Regions from separate parts of the Mus musculus genome. Here all the other regions are reported to be linked to region 4. The links are microRNA targets in miRTarBase. Many come from high-throughput screens and were not tested one by one. Region 4 holds a microRNA gene; each other region holds the end of a gene's coding sequence.
Evidence for each region. Region 4 holds the annotated microRNA mmu-miR-1b-5p (UACAUACUUCUUUACAUUCCA, at 2,060-2,080, opposite strand). A microRNA usually pairs through its seed, bases 2 to 8, with sites in the 3' UTR of a target mRNA and lowers its output. Matches are read on the target gene's strand: a 7mer-m8 pairs with bases 2 to 8, a 7mer-A1 pairs with bases 2 to 7 and ends in A, and an 8mer does both.

Region 1 (3,126 bases), not on the chromosome of region 4:
AACTGGCTATGCAGCTACCTTCGGGGACTCTGGGCCTGGCTAGTGGTACTGTTGGCCACTTTTGTGGAGGCAGCACTATGTGCCTGGTATTTGATCGCTTTCCCACCAGAGGTGGTGACAGACTGGTCAGTGCTGCCCACAGAGGTACTGGAGCACTGCCACGTGCGTTCCTGGGTCAGCCTGGGCTTGGTGCACATCACCAATGCAATGTTAGCTTTCCTCTGCTTTCTGGGCACTTTCCTGGTACAGAGCCAGCCTGGCCGCTACAACCGTGCCCGTGGTCTCACCTTCGCCATGCTAGCTTATTTCATCACCTGGGTCTCTTTTGTGCCCCTCCTGGCCAATGTGCAGGTGGCCTACCAGCCAGCTGTGCAGATGGGTGCTATCCTAGTCTGTGCCCTGGGCATCCTGGTCACCTTCCACCTGCCCAAGTGCTATGTGCTTCTTTGGCTGCCAAAGCTCAACACCCAGGAGTTCTTCCTGGGAAGGAATGCCAAGAAAGCAGCAGATGAGAACAGTGGCGGTGGTGAGGCAGCTCAGGGACACAATGAATGACCACTGACCCGTGACCTTCCCTTTAGGGAACCTAGCCCTACCAGAAATCTCCTAAGCCAACAAGCCCCGAATAGTACCTCAGCCTGAGACGTGAGACACTTAACTATAGACTTGGACTCCACTGACCTTAGCCTCACAGTGACCCCTTCCCCAAACCCCCAAGGCCTGCAGTGCACAAGATGGACCCTATGAGCCCACCTATCCTTTCAAAGCAAGATTATCCTTGATCCTATTATGCCCACCTAAGGCCTGCCCAGGTGACCCACAAAAGGTTCTTTGGGACTTCATAGCCATACTTTGAATTCAGAAATTCCCCAGGCAGACCATGGGAGACCAGAAGGTACTGCTTGCCTGAACATGCCCAGCCCTGAGCCCTCACTCAGCACCCTGTCCAGGCGTCCCAGGAATAGAAGGCTGGGCATGTATGTGTGTGTGTGTGTGTGTGTGTGTGTGTGTGTGTGTGTGTGTATGTACGTATGTATGTATGTATCAGGACAGAACAAGAAAGACATCAGGCAGAGGACACTCAGGAGGTAGGCAACATCCAGCCTTCTCCATCCCTAGCTGAGCCCTAGCCTGTAGGAGAGAACCAGGTCGCCGCCAGCACCTTGGACAGATCACACACAGGGTGCGGGTCAGCACCACGGCCAGCGCCAGCCACGCGGGACCCCTGGAATCAGCTTCTAGTACCAAGGACAGAAAAGTTGCCGCAAGGCCCCTTACTGGCCAGCACCAGGGACAGAGCCACATGCCTAAGCGGCAAGGGACAAGAGCATCGTCCATCTGCAGGCAGGATCAGACCCGGGTCAGTTCTGGACTGGCCCCCACACCTGAATCCCGGAGCAGCTCAGCTGGAGAAAAGAGAAACAAGCCACACATCAGTCCCATAAAATTAAACGCTTTTTTTAGTGTTTAAAATAGCATTTACACAGAAGCAGCATTTACACAGAAGCAGCTCTATGTCAACTACCCAGTCACTCAGACTTTGACACAGTGTCTAGTGTAGATGTGTGGGGCCGCTGTGCCGGGATGGCAGTGGCACATGATGATGGGCAGCCACCAGAACAGAAACAGAACAGGGCCCAGCTCTGCAGCTCTTGTGTTCACTGTCACCCACCACTGAGACTGAGACAGTGGCTAGGTGCCAGGTCTCTCTCCTGTCTCTCCTACTAGCTACCCTTCACATACCTTCAGTACAAACTGTGTTGTCATGTGCCAAGTAGCAGGTGGGGAAAGGGGCATGCAAACTGCCCCTTTGGGTAACTAGCTGCCACCCTTAGAGCAGGCAGGCTAGCAATAAATAAATAAGTTAGACCCCACCTGGGCAGCCAGAGAGGTTTGAAGGCTCTGTCTAACCCCTCAAAAATCCCACCTTGGCCTGACAGGTGAGGCCCATGAACTTAGCGACAGTCAGCCTGTGTCCCTGTGCACAGTTCTGTGAGGCTTTGGGGCAAGGGGTACCAAGAGCCCAAGAGAGCCTTTCTTGTTCTAAATGGAGGTCACTTCCAAAGAAGGGAACCAGGAGGTGGTCCCTGAGACTTGTGCTGAGGACTTAAAGTCAGAGATGTCTCCTTACAAGACTCTATAGATACTTGAGCTGTACCACCATCAGCAGCCCCAAGAGCAGACAAAATGTCAAGCCAATATCCTGGTGGTATGGCTGCCCTCAGGCCCTCCTCTGTAGCCTGCTCCCTCTGCCCTGGCCCAGAGCCCACAGCTGATCTATCCTGGCTGGCCACCACCACGGCCAGCGCAGAGCTCCTGGCACAGCAGGAGCACAGACTCAGCCACAGGCAGCGCTGAAGACATTGGTTGATCATCACATGATGTCCACAAAGAACTCACAGGGGTTTCCCATGGCCTTTTGGAAGGACTGGCGGCTACCTGTAAGTTCTGGAGGGACAGCAGCCAGCTCCCGGACGGGTGGCCCTCCAGGTGGCCCACCCACTACTGCATAGGCCTTTGTAAGGGGGTGCAGTGGGGGGAGCCCTGGGGCAACAGCTGAAGCCTGACTTCGAGGGCTACTGCCACGGCTAAGCTGGCTGACAGGCCGCTCCCACCAGCCGGTGCTACCAGACCCACTTGGTACTGTGTGGTCTGATTCACTGCCACTACCCCCAGCTCCAGTTGCCCGGCGCTCCTCTCGGCCTGGGGTCCGATGGCTGCTCCGTGTGGACCCACTGCTCTTGCTCCCTAGGGGGAGGGAAGGGGACAACAGAGTCAGCACGAGGCCTGGCCACTTCCAGGGCCACCAGCTGCTCCCAGACAGTCAGGGCAGGACCTGGTAAGCCTGGAGATGGTAGGGGAATGGCAGCCATGCAGATACCAGGAACAGCTGAGAGGCGAGAAGCTAGGGGCAGTGGCAGACAGCAGGGACAACAGGGGCCAGCCTGGCACCCCACACCTAACCCCAATGCTTGAACCAAGGGTTAATGTTACAGCTGAGAAACTAAAAACCAGCGAAGGCCCTGTGTGCCCAGCATTCCCATTAGCCATCCTGGGTTCACCACCCAAAGACCCAACCAGGGTCCACCCAACCCCAGGACCCTGGTCATCTAATTTGCTTAGCCC
Region 2 (3,000 bases), not on the chromosome of region 4:
ATAGGGTGAAACTGGTCTTGTCATTGCCAGTCTTCCTGTCTGTAATCACACCCACAAATAACTTAACAGATGCACATAAATACATGTGAAAAAAATTCTTTATTAATTTCTCACATCTCATTACAAAATGTATGTTGCAAACAACTTGAATAACCTACTTGTGTTTTTTATTTTTATTTATTTTTTTATTTTATTTTTTTTGTGTTTAAACCCTTGGCTTCAAGGAGTCAGGATCCCCCTATCTTTCATCAAGTTTCAGGAAACACTGATTATTGGAGTCAATAGGTTATCATTTTGCTATTTATTTTCTTCTCTCAAGCTCTGGAAAAAAAAATGTCCTCTGTATAAATTAAACAACAACAACAAAAAATTTTGTAAATTCTATGTCATTACAGTCAACAGAAAACAGAATGCGTCCAAAATGTGCGGCCACAAAATATCAGGTATATGTTTGAAAAATAAAACAAAAAAATGACATCCTAGCCTTGTTAAAAGGATAATGGTCCCATATTTTTATTATCAGGTTAGCAAAACAAAATCCAATGGATTACAATATTTACATGTTATTTGAAAAATAAAGTAGTGATAGAAGCATGTCACAATTATTTTCTCTTTTCCTTTCGTTGTTTTGTTTGTTTTTGGTAACCATCACAGACATCCAGTCCAGGTATGAAACTGTTTAGTACATTTGAAATGAGGCCAATCAAAAGCGAGTAAGGACACAGAAGAATCTGTCTAGATATTTCACACTTCCCCCTGTTCTGGTTTCCACATGACGGCCCCATCCCTAAAAACAAAATTAAATTAAACATCCTACAAATAAAAATTCTTAATAGCAAAAACTAAAAATCAAAAATAAAAACAAAAATAAAAAATAAAAACAAAGCAAAACCAAGATCATGCTTTTCAAGTACGTACTTACTTCACAAATGCGATATCTTTCCATGGATTTTCTCTGAAGCTGTGTGGGACACTGACACCTCAGTTTACCCTCTTTCCCTTCTGGCCCGCCCCCCACCCCATCAACCCTTCCAAGTTAAAAAAAACAAACAAACAAAAACCCAAACAAGGACAACAAAAGAAACAAAACCTAGGACTCATATTTGCCCACACACATACATCCAAACACCAGCACACGTATGTGCGCACGCGCACACACCCACCCACCCACACACACACGCCCCTAAGCTTCAAGAATGTTCCTTTCCACTTTTTGGAACAAAACCCCATTTTCACAATCATAATGTGCTATAAATGTAGACTTGCTTTCAGTCTAAGCTGCTCTTGGAAAAAAATAAAATAAAATAAACGAAGCCACTGTGGGGAAACAGAGCAGCTAGATGCGCAGACAAAGCACTTTTCCAGGCTCCCTGCAGGATGCGGCATCTCCTGTCCAAGCTCACGGAAGGGATGGCTCCCCAAAGAAATGAGACAGCCTCACAATACACAAAGCAAACAAAACAGAGTTCACAGCACACACGAAGGCCAGCCCAATGTAACAGAAATCGTTGGGGAGACGAAATGTGTTGCTTTGAGAAAAAAAAAAAACAAACAAACCCAAAAGGGTGACGGGACCTCCTTGTCTGGCCCCCCCCACTGCATAGCTGTGCTCGGAGTTTGGTTCTTTAGTTAAATTAAAAAGCAAACAAACACAAAAACAAATTTAAAAGGAAGTTAACCTCTTTGTTATGTTCATGTTTAAAATTATAAAAATTCACACACACACACATACATACACACACACACCCTACACCCTCTAACTCTCCCTTGACCTCAAATTAAACAAACACACAGAGAACAACTCATATGAAGAAAGAACAACTGAATTTGTGCTGTGTTTGTAACACTCAAATCGAGAAAAAAATAAACATGTGGCCAACGAAATCCCACGATCACCATAAAATTAGTTCACATGAACCTACCAAATTCTAAATTATAGCTGAACACTAATAAACAGCTTACCTGGAATACAAGATGACAATTCACACACAGTTATCTAGTAATTAAAGTCTGTTTCTTTTTTTTTTGTTTTGTTTTTTACTAAAATAATTAAAAAAATCACAGTATTTTAAGAAATAAAACCCACGTGGGGATTTTAAGCACAATTTGTGTTCCTTTCTTTAAAACTCTTTTTTTTTCTCCATTCACCATCCTGTCCAGCAGTTCTCTCTACATTTAACCACAAGGGCCACAGGTAGTACAGACAAATGCAGAGAATTCCCTTGGTTAAGTCTGAGGTACTAGGAAACAGGTGACTGTTTTATGCAAAGCAGTTTTTTTTTGTTTGTTTTCTGTTTTGTTATTTTTTTTTCTCCCAAAGCGGCTGCAGTTAGGTCTTGAAAAAGCTTAAGGTATTAAAACTAGAAAAACGCACAGAAAGTTGTGCGCCCAAAAGTTGTTCCCCTAGGAGAAGTCTTCTGTGTCCGGGAGCCTCGGTTTCCACACACTGTCCGAGAGGGTCACGGAGACCACCGTGCCCACGGGAGGTACTTCCCAAACCGCAGCAGATGAAAATCTCCGTGGTGAAGATCCGGAAGGAAGGATGTCGTGACAGGAAAGGAGCCACATATTCCAACCATTTAAATAACTTTAATTTACATACTCACTCACACAGGTACCAGTGCTTTGAAAATAGATTGTTCAGTCCTAAAAGCAGCTTTGTTCTGTCTTCTTCTCTCCTCTGTCTGTCCCCTCCCTTCTCAGCCCACGCCGGCCCGCCCACATTTTCATCACGGTTCAAGTAAGGTTTGATAAGAATTTCACCAAACTCTTATTCGTTTTTGGCCTCTGCATCCTCCAGGAGAGATTTGTCGGCAGCCACTACACAGATGGTTACTGTTTCGCTCTTTAAGGGAAAGTCTATCCCAATTGGCTCATCGTCTTCCTTGGCCTCTATGGAGGGCAGCTGCATACTCTCCTCCACCATCTCCTTTGTATGGATTTCGTTCCTGCTCACTTGGTTGGTATCATGCAATGACCTGGAAAAGCAAACCAGCAGAC
Region 3 (3,126 bases), not on the chromosome of region 4:
GGTTCCTGGTAAATCTTTTTAGAAGCTAGCATGTGGGGGTAGGGGTGAAGCCCAAGATACACACAGATTTTATACAAGGGGTACTTCAATGGTCAGTTTTTCAACAAGACTATCATCAAAGTCTTTTGATGTCTTGTTCATATTTTCAATACTAAGAACCATCCTTTAAGGTATTAATGTAAGATAAATAATGCTTTATCATATGGAGAGGAATTCCAAGACTCCAGGGCACCGAGGTAGGGATGACAGTAGGTATAGGAGGGACAGGATGAAGTACCATGGAAAGGAAAGGGACAAGAGCTCCCGGTACCGTGTACTGGGCAACAGGCTTAGCAGAGCTGTTCAATGGACCACCTTCCATTTCTTAGGAATCAATACTGTGGGAGAAATGGGGCTGACTATGGGCCAGACTCTTAGAGTCCCATCAGATCTGAGAATGCAGCATCCTTCCAGAGGCCTCAGGGAAGACACATTTTTAGCCTATCCCCAAAGGTAGACAGCATTACACTAGGGCAGGCTGGGATTCTGACTCACAAAAGACTGCTTCAGTTATTTTTCAAGATAAATGATGTAGACAGAGTAGTCCACAGCTTTAAAAGTGCCTTTGTGATCTGATTATCTATAAGCATGTCCAGAAGCTCTAGAGCCAACACTAGTGAGTCCTGTAACAGGAACAGTGGCAGAGCTAATGCTAAGGGTAGTCCTAGACAATTCTCCATGTCAGAAACTCTGCAGCAAGGTACCATTCAATGTATATTAGATACTCTACATAAGTACACACAAACATTCTATACATATAGCACACACTGTGGACAAACACATTTAGACATGTTAACTGTTCAGCTACTGATGCTCTAAGATGATGCTCAAGACTCCAAGGTCTTGGTACCTTTCCCTTCAGGGATTACAAATACTTAGGCAAAAAGCAGACAGTGATAGTTCACCTTCTAGAAGAAAGGCAACTTGCTTGGGGAATATTGGATTCACTAGGATGCTATGAAATAGTTCAGGTATATGGAGCCACAATGTTAACTATCATATTCGCTTCATGGTTCTGAGATATAAATTAAATCACTGCCTTTACTTAAACAAGATAGAAGTTTAGGGAAGTTTTTCCAATAGTGTGGCAAAATACCATGAAGCAAGCAGCTACCGTATTGGAGAGAAGTGTTACTATTCCGGGGCACAAGCAAGGTGGGCATGTACAGAGGTGAAAGAAGTACAGGCTAACACACAGTCCTGTGACTAAATGCTAGTACATCCTAACGAGATGTCTCTATAAACTACCGGGATTTTTTAACAGGCTTACTCTAACTTACTAGAATCATGCTATTCATGCAAGAGCAGCTGATTCTCTGGTCATAGTACCTTCAACTAACCAAGTCGAAATAGAGGAAATATTTAAGGAGAATAAAGAATATCTAAATGTCATCCTGTTAGTTTTTGAAGATATTTTGATGGGAAGATAGTAGTTTTAGAGAATACAGTTTCAAGGCTGGAAACTGGACAGTTTTCAGCCACAGAGGAAGTTCACCTTTTACGCCTTTTTCTTCCTCTACAGACAATACTCTACTTAATACTTTAAATTGTAAAGGGACTGCTTTGACTGTAAAGTGAAACCATTTTGAATGCAGGAAAAAAATAAGATTAAATGTATACAAGTAATTCCAGGAGCAATCTTAATAGTGGCATAGCAAGACCGCTGTAGAGGTGGAGATGAGAATAAGCTAAGACGCTGCTCATACATCAGACCCCTCCATCCTCGGTCACTGTGATCAGACTGATTTCATAGCCCGTCTGATGGCCTGATCTTGATGAAGAACTGCATCTGTGTTGCTCCTTATTTGTCTTGATATAGAAAAGAAAGAGAAGAGTATGTGTGGGGGAAGGTGGTATTCATTTCCAACATTGTTTTGTTTCAACCAGGACATGATCTATGCCTGTACATCTATGTTAAATGAATCTATTCCTGGATGGAAAGGTATCAATCACAGAGATGATTTTGATTCCTAGTCTAGATTCCATGGGAGTGAGGTAACATTTCTATAGAAGACCATACATCCTACTGCTACAGTTCCAAAGAGCTGATTACTGCCACCAGCCTTTAGAAAACAAAAGTGGCTCGGGATCAAGCCATCCTCAGGCTCCCTTCAAGCAAGATGACTCCACTTCTGAATTCCCTTGCATGGCTGGAATGGAATGCACACCTGAGACAAACTCCTGTGCCTCCCTAAGGTCTCCAGTCCTGTCATCCTCGTGCTCCCTTTTGTCCTGTGTCCAGCACCAACAACAGGTGCCAGGAAGAACGCAGAAGTGTCCTATCTTGGGACACCTCGACTCCCAGCGCTGCCATTTTCATGTGAGCAACTATGAACTTTCAACTTCACCTCCGTGACTGGGCAGGATTTCACATGTAAAGTCTAGGATTTACTAAAAGCACAATGCTTGTCCAGTTATGGGTTTCACAATGGATTAAAAATTTAAACCTAAAAAAAAATACAACAACTGATTGGTAATACACAAAATAACTGTATAGAAGTGCAAATAAGAGAAAGCCGAAGAGAAAGGATCTGTAGCCCTCCTCCTCCTCCTCACAAAAGGTGCATTAGTTATAAAGTTGTCCAAATCATCAAAGCAAAGGAACTCAAGAGCAAAGACACCTGTACAGAAACTAACAAAAATATATAATAGAAAAGGTTACTAATGCACCGTTTAGTCACAGACTGTTTTTTAAATATATTCACGGATTACCAGAAAGATCTTGAAAAACCCTATTTTGTTCCATGACCAGCACCTCCTGGCCGCGGATGGATTCTAAGTAACTTTTTGCTTAATGCCCGGTGTTTCAGGTCGGTGGTCTTTTCTCTCTGACACGTTGCGCTTGACCTTGGCAGTGACTGGAGATGCATCTGGGTTGAGGGAGGGACTTGAGTGTGACTTCTTCAGTCCCACGGGCTCATTTCCATCGGTAGTCAGGAGCTCTTTGCCTCCTTCTTTCAGAACGCTGACATAAATCTCATAACGGGTTTTCTAAAGGCAAAATCAGAGAAGTGTGGTCAGTACAGTTTACAATTACATGTGTGTAGCACACCTAGCATGTTCTTACACATGACATCATACGTTTTT
Region 4 (3,126 bases):
CAAACTCCTGCTCCTCCAAAAGAATCCCAAAGCAAGAAAGATGCAGAATATTTCCTGAGGCACCAGAAGAACCCAGTATGGTCTGGTGGGCACAGGAAACTGGGTGAATGCTTGCAGCTAATTGGGAGAATGTGAGGTGTGTTTAGGGTTTTGCTTGCAGTGGTTTTTTGTTTGTTTGTTTGTTTTTTTAAATCTTAGATTACAAAATTAACATCCTCTGCAACTTTTCCCCTCTTGTAAATCATTTCATCTAACAAAAACCCTAGGTACATTCTCTTTGCCACTGTAGCAACCTTCCCATTACTTAACTTTCTCTACATATCGATATAATTGATATATTACATTCTAAATTATATGACTAATGTTGATTCAATTTGAGAGAGAGAGAGAGAGATTGCATGCCTGCATGCACATCTGTGTATATGTGTCTTTCTATGTCTATGAGAAGAGCAAGGGAAAAAGGTAAAATTACGTTGTTTTTGTATATTTAACTTGTCTTTCAAATGTATCTTACAAGGTAAGGTTCTGTGTTCACTTACACTGGGTGCTTACCTCACCCAGCTTATAAAACCAGTGCTGAAACAGCAGCAGTGTGAAAGAACGGTCATGATGTGGTGACTGCAATGTTACTGTAGGTCACTACATCTCTTCCCTGTAAGTGGGGCAGGACACTAAGCTCACAGGTAAATCAAGCACAAGAACCAACTTGGAAGGACGCTTCTGACTTTCTGCATGCTTATCTAATATTGACTGATATATATTCTCATTGTTAAATTAATTTATATCTGGGCATAGGCTAATTTCAAAGCTCAAATTAATAATTTAGTTTTAAAAATGCCATTGTTCAAACAGCATGCCAGATAACTTCAAAAATATACAATCTACCACTAACATTACATCACTACAGACAGGGTCTTTATTGTTTTCAATTAAACAGTTGTTTCAATTGTGTCTCGCTCCTCTAGTAAACCTGCATCCCTGCCTCCAGAGCACAATAGCTTCTAAAGGCTACTTCAAGATTTGGGTTATGAAATGTCTCCCCTTGCTTACTACTCAGGCCACAGACATCCGCATGCTGCTGCACGGTGCAGGTCTCAGCGGCACTGCTGACTGAGGCCCGCGTTGGCAGCTTACTAGCTTTCTTCATGGACTGCAGAAATCCTATTCCCCCACTTCCCTCCCAGCACCCCCTTTTCTATTCTTTACCAAATCTCAAAGCTTCTCAATGTCTCCTTTTGAATTAACCTTCAAAATGTCTTAGTGACTATAGGCCACTCCCAAATTATTTTTTTTTTCTTGTGCTAAATATTCAAGGTAAAACCCAGAGATTCACAGACTAAAGTGCTTCTCCTCTTTTATGGAGACTTTGGAAAAGTTATTTTAGTACTTTTCCATTATATTAAAAACCATTTTTAAAAAGTAATCTCATACAAACCAAGCACGTAACTATTTGAATTTGCATTCAATGCAAACAGAAACAGAACAAAAACTTGGCTAAATGATTTGTAATCTGTTACCTTGAAAATAAATTTCCATTTAAAAACATTAATTCACTCACACAATGAAATGATCCAATTTCAAAGCCTGTGCTAACTGTAACTTGTTTCTCCCAATAAGTTTTAAGTAGAAGTATCTGGTTTATAAAAACAATTTAGACTAAATTGATTATCATCTGTCTGTAAAGGATCTAGAAGCAAATTATAAAGAAGAGGGAGGCACGACGGAGAGAGCAGCAAGCGTGCTAACATTTCTGAATACACTTAAGACTCTGCTGACTGCATCTCTTGGAAAAGAAGCAGCAGGGCAAAGCATGGCAGTGCTTAAAAGAACCACAAGCAGAAGTGGCATTGATGGGATCAGGTAAATCTGTTGTAAAATTCAGTCTCTGATAAGCTAATCTCCGCACTGGATCCATTACTCTTCCAGAAAAGTAATCCAAATGTCCTACTAACAGCTGGGTGAGGTGGGCTGCTTCATGTTTTCACAGCTATCGGCCGGCGCAGGAGTGCCTACTCAGAGCACATACTTCTTTATGTACCCATATGAACATTCAGTGCTATGGAATGTAAAGAAGTATGTATTTTGGGTAGGTAATGTCCGCCAAGAAGAAGCTAAAGGAAACTTTCCAGGAGGATGACTTCCATACTCTGAATTCACCTGTAATACTAACAGCCCCATTCCAAAAGGACCAGCCATTCACTGGGAAAACTAACATCCCTTATACTGTACTGAAGAGATAAGTCCCGTGGAAGTGGATTTTAATTTTCACATTAAATCATACTACACTCTACACTGAATACTCACGTGATTAAAATGTGACTACTACAGAGGAAATAGTATTGCTAGCGCAAAACAGTGAGACACAGGATCAACCATTATCTGTCTTCACAATTGGATATTTTAGTGTCTCACATCTATCAAATCAGGACCAACAAATCTAATAAGAAAAATAAAGCAACAAAAAGCTGATTTTACTCATATAATAGCTATTCTTCACATGTGGCAAAATGTATAACCTATTAAAATCAGAGGATCTCGTAAGCCAAAAATTTTGGTTTCATTATTTTCTTTTCTGACAGCTATTGAAACTATAATGTTTAAAGACTATCTTTTAAGTAAAATTATACTGCACACATGAAAACTGGCTTTTGTCCTTTTCCAGCTTGTCAGTTCTTAACCCAATCTGTACTTTAAGTGCAGTTAATACTTACAGCATGAAAAAGAATGATAAAAATGGCAAAACCCTAGGCCACAACTAAAATGTAAACAGGATATATTGGCAACAAACTGTCAAAAACCTGAGTCTGTATTGTCCTTGCTTATATCAAATGACATTGTTTTTCTCACAATGAGTTATGAACAGCTACATTAGTTATTCCACAGGTCTGAAAGGTTTTCATAATTCTTTAAGAAACATTTTCACAACTAATAATTTGTTACAATCCTTAGAGAATATTAGCTATTCATTTATAAAATAAAACTGAAAACTGATTTTGTTGCTTCCAAGTTCAGCTTTTGTCTAGGAGTGTTTTGAATCACTTGAAATGTCACATCCAGCACTTAGATCAGCTGTCCCTTTTGAAGTGAGTACATGTTAAACTCTGGGCATCTGCTGACACTGCTATT

Region 1: the mRNA of Tas1r3 is a reported target of mmu-miR-1b-5p. Seed matches in the 3' UTR shown: 7mer-A1 at 1,022-1,028, 7mer-A1 at 1,030-1,036, 7mer-A1 at 1,034-1,040 and 7mer-A1 at 1,038-1,044.
Region 2: the mRNA of Zfp462 is a reported target of mmu-miR-1b-5p. Seed matches in the 3' UTR shown: 8mer at 2,596-2,603 and 7mer-A1 at 1,730-1,736.
Region 3: miRTarBase lists Psd3 as a target of mmu-miR-1b-5p. The part of its 3' UTR that is shown has no 7-base or 8-base seed match.

What each region holds. Positions count from the first base shown.
Region 1 is chr4:155,857,615-155,860,740 of GRCm38, reverse strand. It overlaps Tas1r3 (taste receptor, type 1, member 3), which reads left to right. Exons shown (of 6, transcript NM_031872.2): 6 at 1-1,473. The coding sequence ends at 555. Dvl1 (dishevelled segment polarity protein 1) reads right to left here. Exons shown (of 15, transcript NM_010091.5): 15 at 1,438-2,748. The coding sequence ends at 2,375. Among named protein-coding and RNA genes, the nearest start is that of Tas1r3, 4.2 kb to the left of the region's middle.
Region 2 is chr4:55,080,644-55,083,643 of GRCm38, reverse strand. Zfp462 (zinc finger protein 462) reads right to left here. Exons shown (of 13, transcript NM_172867.3): 13 at 81-2,978. The coding sequence ends at 2,771. Among named protein-coding and RNA genes, the nearest start is that of Gm42289, 13 kb to the right of the region's middle.
Region 3 is chr8:67,694,158-67,697,283 of GRCm38, forward strand. Psd3 (pleckstrin and Sec7 domain containing 3) reads right to left here. Exons shown (of 16, transcript NM_177698.4): 16 at 1-3,030. The coding sequence ends at 2,815. Among named protein-coding and RNA genes, the nearest start is that of Gm32888, 170 kb to the right of the region's middle.
Region 4 is chr18:10,784,440-10,787,565 of GRCm38, reverse strand. It overlaps Mir1b (microRNA 1b), which reads right to left and starts at 2,120; the gene lies at 1,999-2,120. All of the region lies in intron 12 of Mib1 (mindbomb E3 ubiquitin protein ligase 1), which reads right to left. It overlaps Mir133a-1hg (a long non-coding RNA gene), which reads left to right. Exons shown (of 3, transcript XR_877177.3): 1 at 1-136; 2 at 1,685-1,860. It overlaps Mir1a-2 (microRNA 1a-2), which reads left to right and starts at 2,014; the gene lies at 2,014-2,085.